3 linked regions of the Saccharomyces cerevisiae S288C genome follow. The gene in region 3 interacts genetically with the main gene of each other region. Each region holds a gene or a part of one and is shown on either strand. Other genes may lie near its edges.

Region 1 (3,828 bases), on a different chromosome or scaffold from region 3:
CTCCTTTATAAAAACGAATGGCTCCTTATTAAACACTTTTATCGTCAATCCACTTACTCTCTAAATATCGTAAGCTTTGCATATATAAGCATATAATAAAAATAGTTGGTATATGCTGCACGTGTAGTCTAATGTTCTTTTCTTTTTTTTCTTTATTCTTTTTTCTCCTCTTTATGAATACAGATATTCAATTTTTTGAATATCTGATTGTTTTTATTTTCATTTCAATTTTTTTTTTTTTTCAATTTTTTTTATCCGATCGTTGCGCCAAGCTTCTATCGCTTAAAACAATGACACTTCGCTGTGAAATGACACAATGGCTTGAGATTCAGGCACAACGCAAAAGGTCTTTACAAATGTATATCACAGAATATTAATGTTTGAAAAGTACTTCCGAATTCAAGGCCACCACGTAGCCTTATACACCAAATACAATTATACACAGGTTTCAAACTTGAGAAAAACAAGATATTGAATATTAAAAGCTGGGGCTAGTAGAATTTGCTGATTAGGTTAATTGTCATCAAATTCAAACAAACTACCATTTTCAGGGGTATTTTTCCTTGCTTCAATTCTGGATTTCATTTTTGCTCTCTTTTTCTTGTTGCTTTTTGTACCATGAAATTTCTGTGACAGTTTTTTATATGCCTCCTTAGTAGTCAGTCGATTTCCCTTTTCGTCTCTGTAAACCAGTTTTATGTCAGGATCATAATGATCTTGTCTTTTTGAATGAGTATTTGCATTGGAAGAGTCACTAGATGTGAATTGTTCCAGTCCGTGTAGCTTATCTTTTGTATAAGTGCCAGTGCCCGTATGCTCTTTATTTCGGACATCCCTTCGAAGTGATTCACTATTATTAACATCCTTTCCTGGTTTCAAATCGACGTCTCCTGTGGTGAAAACACTCTTTTTCCGAAGATATCCTAGTGTTGATGCAAGACCAGAAAAAAAGTTCGGTGCATTTTCAGCATCTCCCTCGTAGTTTGGTTCATTATTAACTGCTTCAGTCAGTGTATTGTTTCCACTCCCTTCCTTAGTATGTCCATTGGTAACATCTCCGATATTTTTCTCTCCTTCACCATGCACTTTCACTTTATTCTCAGTAGCACTTCGTTCGGAGAGACTGGTATCCAAAGTATTTAAAAAAGTTACCTTTTCGTCGACGACAATACTGTTGGAAATTTCACGCATTTTCAAAATGCTTTCAGTGCGTCGCTTCTCTTCGTCTCTTGCCTTTTCAATTTCTCTAGCGAGGTCCTCTGGCCCTTTCAATTCATTGTTTGAGCTTGTTCTGGGATTTATTATGGTGACTGGCTGTTCTTCTTCCATCCAGGATAAACTTTCATCTTCATCTACTAACTTAACAATTTCCATCTTATCAGTAATTTTTGACTTCCTAGCTTTAGTAGATCTTGGGTCCTTGATCTTACGTTTTTTAATTTTTAAAGGTTTAAAGTCTCCACCATCTTCATCTGACATATTATTTGCGCTATCGAAATTCACTTTAACTTTTCCCGTTGGTGGTTTTGCTGATATAGTATTCGGTGCCTTCATAACACCCTGTTCTGCTCCGATGATTAGATGTGTAGTTGTAATTGAGTGTTTCTCTCCTTCTTCTTCTTCTTCAATATCTAAGCTAGATACATTTAAAATTTTTTTTTTTTGTCTTCTATCTTTATTCATTTGTCGTAATCGTAGTTTCTCTCTATCAGCGTTTTCCTCGGCAGCTTTCACATTCTCTAACACTTCGGTAGAATCAGTATCATCAAAAATACTGCTCTCTTTCAAAGTTAGAATCGTATCTTTCTTTGGGCTAAGCGCCTCGATATTATATGATACTTGAACATTATGCAGATCAATATTTTCGTCTTCCTTCGTGGCGCCTTTTCTTGGCAATGTGCTGGAACGTTTGGATTCATGTGAGGAAGGAATTGCATCCATGTTTTCTAGCCATGAACTGTCGTCATTTACATTAGTTTCTTCGAGAAGGTGCGCCATTCGTAAAGGAGCGTTCGCCTTTTTTTGAAACTTTGTTATCTTCTCTCGAAGTTCATCGATTTTGGATGTGTTATGTACATTAGGGGGAGAAGAATTGAAATTTTGTTGGGGTGGGATAAGTTTTAGGCCAAGGGACGCCCTCAACTCATTCGTCTCTTCGATTGACAAAGACTCTTTATGGTCTGTATTCTTTTCTTGAAAAACTGGAATAGGTTTCATACCCAGCTTTTCCCTTATTTCATTTGTCTCCTCAATAGAAAGGTTTTCCGTTTTGTTCATAAATTAATTAAGGGTTGATGTGATGATTGCCTTTTTATTAATATCAAATAGTAACGATTGCACCATCTCATCCTTTGCTCACTTTCAAAAATTTTGTATATCTTTTTCGTCCCGCGAATAATTTTAAGTTGCGCAGTTCACGATATGAATACCTATAACTGCTAATGGTACAAATTTTTTAAAGGTTAAACAAAACTTTTAATGATATAAAGTACCTAAAACTATGTAAACATAAATTATGTATACTATTTCAAATATATCACCTAAAAAAAATAATAAGTTCAATTCAATATGGGCGTACAGCACTAATTTACAGATTATGGAATAAAATATGAAATGAGAAATAGGTTAAGCATTGGATAATTATAGAAAATTTTCTAAATCCAAATAAAAGGGAACGCGAGGGGTCACTAATTATTAAAATGTAAAATGCATCCTTATTTCTTCTCTTTCTTCTCTTTCTTGGACTTCTTTTCCTTCTTCTCTTTCTTCTCTTTCTTCTCCTTCTTTTCCTTCTTTTCCTTCTTTTCCTTCTTGTCCTTCTTTTCCTTCTTAGCTTTTTTAGAATCCTTGGAATCTTCATCATCGTCTCTCTTTCTCTTCTTTTCTTTCTTTTCTTTCTTTTCTTCCTCTTCATCATCAGAATCGGATTCAGAATCAGAAGCAGCCTTTGCGGTATCAGCATCTGCATTGTAGGCCCTAGCTTCAGTCATTTCCACCTTCTTAGCCTCACGAACAACCTTTGGAGTAGTTCTTAAATCTCTACCTTCTAATTGGGATAATCTATTTTCTACTTTGGCTCTTGATTCTAGACCAATGTCACCTGAATCGTCTCTATCTTCAGCTAAAGCATCATAACGCAATGAGACAGCGGCCTTAGCAGCCAGAACTCTTGCAATCTTACCTTTGTTCTTACCAGTAGCTTGACCAACAAGAGAGGCATGATATAGCAAACCATACTTTGGTGTATCATGCTTGGTCTTTAAAGCTCTGAATAAAGCCTTTTCGGCACCTAATATTTGGATGGTAGAAGCTGGTGATTTGGCCAAGGAAATTAAGGAACCTGAATGAGCGATAAGTCTAGCACCAACTAATTCACCAACCAACTGAGTCAAGTTTGGAGCAATAGCCTTCATTCTTGCAGACAAGTAATTGGACAACTGTTCTCTGTAAGCGGCAAATTCGACTATTTGTTCAGCTAAAGCATTAATGTTGTCTAGATCGGTTTGAGTGATTTCAGTACCCATAGACACTTCAGCAGCGGTTTTGACACGTTCTTCAATCTCTTCTGGTAAGATTTCACTCAAATCTGTTTCAGAAGCCTTGGATCTGATACCCATTGTTAGAATAATTCTCGCATAAGCGACGGAATCAGTAACAATCTTAGCTAACTCAGGAAAGTGCCACCCGTACCATTCTTTACATCTCATGGCATATGTGTTTAATTCTTTATCTAAATCATCCAATAAAGCAATTGCTTGAATAATCATAACATCAACTTTGTCAGCAGAAAATTTTAATTTGTGACGACCGATGGAATGAGCTAAACCC
Region 2 (2,456 bases), on a different chromosome or scaffold from region 3:
ACAAATTGCAATTGATAGATGATTTTCTGGTTATAAAAAGGAACCAACAAATCGGTAGAAAGTCGACAGTATAACTAGTGGTGAAGCTGTTATTAGAAATGGTAGGGGGGTTTTTTTTTTGTCCTGTCGGCACGTATGGAAATTTATCGTCTATTAAACCTTTTCTTTGATTTGATTTCTACAGTGTACTTTTGTAGGTGTCCTTAATTTCCATTTTTCCGGGTATGCAAAGTTCAACAAAAAGAAAGCCCTGACCAAATTTCTGCGTACATAACGGCTACTGCGCTATCGTTGGGAATATTGTGTGAGAGTATATTTTCATGCTATATATTATAGTAAAAACATAAGAGATTAGACGTGAAAGGAGAGATAGATTACATATATGTATGTATATAACTCGGGTACGGAGAGACAAATTTCAACTTATAATAATGATACAGACGTTAATATGGATAGAATGAGGATACAGGAGCAGGGAGAATTACGGGAAATGGGAAAGAAAAACTATTCTTCTTATTTCTTACTTCCCTTTTTTTCCACTTTCAATAATAATGCTTTATTTATATGAGGCAAAACACCACCTGAAGCAATTGTAGCCCTGATCAAAGAATCTAACTCATCGTCACCTCTAATGGCCAATTGCAGATGTCTTGGGGTAATCCTCTTGACTTTAAGATCCTTGGCTGCATTACCAGCCAACTCCAGCACTTCAGCAGTCAAATATTCCAACACAGCAGTCAAATAAATGGCAGCTTTGGATCCTACTCTTGTTCGGCCGGTAGCGTGCCTTTTCAGGTAACGCTTAATCCTACCGACAGGAAACTGCAAGCCAGCCCTTGCTGAAGAAGATTGAGATCTCAATGAACCACTGTCTTTAGCGCCGGATTTACCTTTACCTCCATGAGCTTTTCCTGACATTATGTTAAGTTATTTTTACGTGCGGCTATAGTGCGAAATTGAATTTAACGATATTTTTTCCGACTGAAGTATAATAGAGTCCGCAGTGTTTTTTAGTTGGGGGTTGTGACTCTATTACACTGGATAATAGTTCAGCTGTTAAATAGAGCTGTATGCTTTATTTGTTGTTTTTTTTGTTTTGTTGTTTTCGTGCACGGAGCGAGCGCGGCGGGTTACGGAACACCAGCGGCCAGTTCTACGAGTAGTAAGTTACGGGCGTAAAGTTACTGTGTGCTAATCTAGCATGGATGCATTCAGTAAACCTTTTCAATTGAGTCTAACGTTCTCTAAAGAAAGAAGAATACTGCTATTTTAGGTATGTGCTTACTACCGCTTGTGCGGACCTGCCCTGATTCCAAGGTAAGAGACAGTGATTCTTGTCCTAAGCTCTTTTCTCCGGGGCGGGCGGGCGGCTGGCAGACATATTGATTGCGGGTAACACCTCCGAGGTTAATTAATCAAGCAACGTGCGGAGTTTTATCACATGGATGTTTCTTATCACCGGGTGCGCGCCACGCAATATATAAAACGGTAAACATACGCTGTTGCAAGGCAAGACACAACAGCGGCAAACACTTCAGAGAATACAGACGATAGTCATCAGCACTCCTAATAATCGTATAATGAATACTATACGAAGCTTTGTGCGTTGCAAAAAGAGCATACCAGGCGAAGAGAGCGCAGTTAGTAGGTGATCGGGAAATTGCTGAGTACAGTTGTTTGCCTCCTGTGATACCGCGTCACATGACCATTTAAAAGTGTCCATAATGTCATCGGTAACGTCACACTCACATGAGTTTTCCTGACTTCAGCCTCCTTCATCTCGCGTTAATACGCCAGCATCGCGCACCATATTACTGCCCGCGTAATCCAATTCCTCCTTTCGTTCTCAATGACTAAAACGCAAATCATTTTTCCTTTTTTTTTGAAACCGGTGGACGCCCCATAGAACTTCCAAATCAGGAAATACCGCAACTTCATCCGTTTTCGTTTCGCTTTAGTCCTCCACGAAAATATCTTGCCGGTTCCGCGAATGTTGTACTGGTTCTTCTGTGCAATGAGCCTTTTTCTCTTCTTTCTTTTTCCCTGCTTTTAAGATGGCTTGGCTATGGAATTACTCAATTTGGCACTTCTTTTGCAAGATCCAGACTTGCAGGGATTCTATCACCATTATTACCACACTACTATGTTATTGTTACGCTTTTCATCCACTTTTATATAAGTTATACGTGGTTTTACGAGTTCTAATATTTCACTTTTCAGCTTGGAATACGCCGTTTTAAGAGGACTAAAAGCAAGGAAATTACACACATAATAATATAAGTAATGATACGTCCATTATGTTCAAAAATTATTATCAGTTACATATTCGCAATTTCTCAGTTTCTACTGGCCGCTAATGCGTGGTCGCCCACAGATAGTTATGTTCCTGGCACCGTGTCGTGTCCCGATGACATAAATCTGGTAAGAGAGGCTACGTCTATATCTCAGAATGAGAG
Region 3 (2,669 bases):
TAAATCATTAAGTGTTTCTTGCGGCCAGAAGGGGCATTATACAAAAGATATGGTTGTTGATACTGAGTATTACGATTTGTTAGGTGTGTCTACCACTGCATCTTCCATTGAAATAAAAAAGGCCTATAGAAAGAAATCTATTCAAGAGCATCCTGATAAGAATCCCAATGACCCCACGGCTACCGAAAGGTTTCAAGCAATATCCGAAGCTTATCAAGTTTTAGGTGACGATGATCTTCGCGCAAAGTATGATAAGTATGGAAGAAAAGAAGCTATTCCTCAGGGCGGCTTTGAAGATGCAGCTGAACAGTTCTCTGTCATCTTTGGTGGAGATGCGTTTGCCTCATATATTGGCGAACTGATGCTATTAAAGAACCTACAGAAAACTGAGGAGCTAAATGCTGAAGACGAAGCTGAAAAGGAGAAGGAGAATGTGGAAACAATGGAAGAATCACCTGCAGACGGTAAGACGAATGGCACCACTAACGCTGTTGATGCAGCATTGGGCAATACTAACGAAAAAGATGACAAAAATAAGGCGAGGACAACTTCTGGTAATTTAACTGTACACGATGGAAACAAGAAAAATGAGCAGGTAGGAGCAGAAGCTAAGAAGAAGAAGACAAAATTAGAGCAGTTTGAGGAAGAACAAGAGGTAGAAAAGCAAAAAAGAGTAGACCAATTAAGCAAAACATTGATTGAAAGATTATCGATATTAACAGAAAGTGTCTATGATGATGCATGTAAAGATTCCTTTAAAAAAAAGTTCGAAGAGGAAGCCAATCTTTTAAAGATGGAATCATTTGGTCTGGACATATTACACACAATAGGCGACGTTTACTACGAAAAAGCTGAAATTTTTCTTGCATCCCAGAACCTGTTCGGAATGGGTGGTATATTTCATTCTATGAAGGCTAAAGGGGGAGTATTTATGGATACACTAAGAACTGTTTCGGCAGCCATAGACGCTCAGAATACTATGAAGGAGCTTGAAAAAATGAAAGAAGCTAGCACGAATAATGAGCCTTTGTTTGACAAAGACGGAAATGAGCAAATTAAGCCAACCACTGAGGAACTGGCGCAGCAAGAGCAGCTATTGATGGGCAAAGTATTGTCGGCTGCTTGGCATGGTTCTAAATATGAAATAACATCCACTTTACGTGGCGTTTGTAAAAAAGTACTAGAAGATGACTCGGTAAGTAAGAAAACGCTTATCAGAAGAGCTGAAGCAATGAAACTATTGGGTGAAGTCTTTAAGAAAACTTTCAGAACCAAAGTCGAACAAGAAGAGGCACAGATCTTTGAAGAACTTGTAGCAGAAGCTACAAAAAAGAAGAGACATACATGAAGTTAGCAATCATCTCTTGTATATTAAAAATTCAAAAATTCACTTTTTTTTATTATCTGTATTCAATATAATATAATGTATATAAGATCACACTAATACTGATAATTCTATTCTTGAAAGAAAGACAATAGAACAATAAAGAAGTGATTGAACTCAGTGACAATGATAATTTATGTGATAAGGAAGTGGTTATGGCTGGAGAATTATGCCACACTTAAATGATAAGCTCTTTTACCTTTCTGGGTTTAGGAATTTTTTGAGATTAATACAGATAAAAAAAAATAGGCCGAACATTAATTACTCATACAACTCAAAAAGTGCAGCGTGCAATTCTAGATCAAGAACATAGATAATATAAACAAAATAACAATGAACAAAATTCAGCAAATCAACGATAAAGAACTACAAAGTGGAATTCTTAGCCCGCATCAATCATGGCATAATGAATATAAGGATAATGCTTATATATATATCGGAAATCTCAACCGAGAATTAACAGAAGGTGACATATTGACAGTCTTTTCTGAATATGGAGTCCCTGTAGATGTAATTCTTAGCAGGGATGAAAACACAGGAGAATCGCAAGGTTTTGCATATTTGAAATATGAGGATCAACGGTCAACGATTCTAGCAGTCGATAATTTAAATGGATTTAAAATTGGCGGTAGAGCCCTCAAAATTGATCATACTTTTTATAGGCCAAAAAGGAGTTTACAAAAATACTATGAAGCTGTAAAGGAAGAATTGGATCGAGATATAGTTTCGAAGAACAATGCTGAGAAACTCATTTTGGCTAAAAAGGACCAACCAAATTAAATAATTTTTTCTTTCATCGCATATCTTATATTCATATAGCCTAGAAAAAAATAATCAATATCATATTTGTAATTCTACATCCTTTCAGAAATTAGTATACATACGTATCTATAGAAAGCAAATTAAATCTTCATGGAAGGGGTGGGGGTGGAGGAATACCTGCAGGTGGAATTGATGGGATACCTGCAGTAGAAACTGGTTGTGCCCCTTCTTCCTCTTCATCTGTACCAACTGATTCAGGAATCGATAAAACGTCATCATCAGAATCGGATCCATATGCGCCCGTGCCTTTTTCAGCACCATTGTAGTTATCAACGTGAGCGATAATAGGTTCTGAAGTGGAAGCTTGTTGAGTTGGTAAAGGTGGGGGTGGAGGCAAAACGCCTCCAGCTAAAGCTGGGGTGGAAGAACCCGATTTTTGCACGGCAGTAGCTATTGCAGGTGCTGAGGGAATTGGAGGTTCTTGAAAGCCATCAACAGCAGGCAAAGGGGGAGCCAACGGGAC

What was found. Genes that interact genetically often act in the same process or in processes that back each other up.
Region 1: mutations in IST3 (region 3) and SNU66 together harm fitness more than expected from each alone (negative genetic interaction), as found in Saccharomyces cerevisiae (6 studies listed by BioGRID, with this or other methods).
Region 2: mutations in IST3 (region 3) and HTZ1 together harm fitness more than expected from each alone (negative genetic interaction), as found in Saccharomyces cerevisiae (7 studies listed by BioGRID, with this or other methods).

What each region holds. Positions count from the first base shown.
Region 1 is NC_001147.6:894,111-897,938, forward strand, and holds SNU66 (U4/U6-U5 snRNP complex subunit SNU66), read right to left. Parts: upstream 2,278-3,828; coding exon 514-2,277; downstream 1-513. Other genes in the region: RNA-processing protein NOP58, read right to left, coding at 2,715-3,828. UniProt on the Saccharomyces cerevisiae protein: Component of the U4/U6.U5 tri-snRNP particle, one of the building blocks of the spliceosome. Required for pre-mRNA splicing.
Region 2 is NC_001147.6:303,066-305,521, forward strand, and holds HTZ1 (histone H2AZ), read right to left. Parts: upstream 919-2,456; coding exon 514-918; downstream 1-513. Other genes in the region: PLB3 (lysophospholipase), read left to right, coding at 2,284-2,456. UniProt on the Saccharomyces cerevisiae protein: Variant histone H2A which can replace H2A in some nucleosomes. Nucleosomes wrap and compact DNA into chromatin, limiting DNA accessibility to the cellular machineries which require DNA as a template.
Region 3 is NC_001141.2:363,172-365,840, forward strand, and holds IST3 (U2 snRNP complex subunit IST3), read left to right. Parts: upstream 1-1,717; coding exon 1,718-2,164; downstream 2,165-2,669. Other genes in the region: DJP1 (Djp1p), read left to right, coding at 50-1,348; actin cytoskeleton-regulatory complex protein PAN1, read right to left, coding at 2,295-2,669. UniProt on the Saccharomyces cerevisiae protein: Required for pre-mRNA splicing and spliceosome assembly. As part of the pre-mRNA retention and splicing (RES) complex, required for nuclear pre-mRNA retention and efficient splicing. Required for MER1-activated splicing.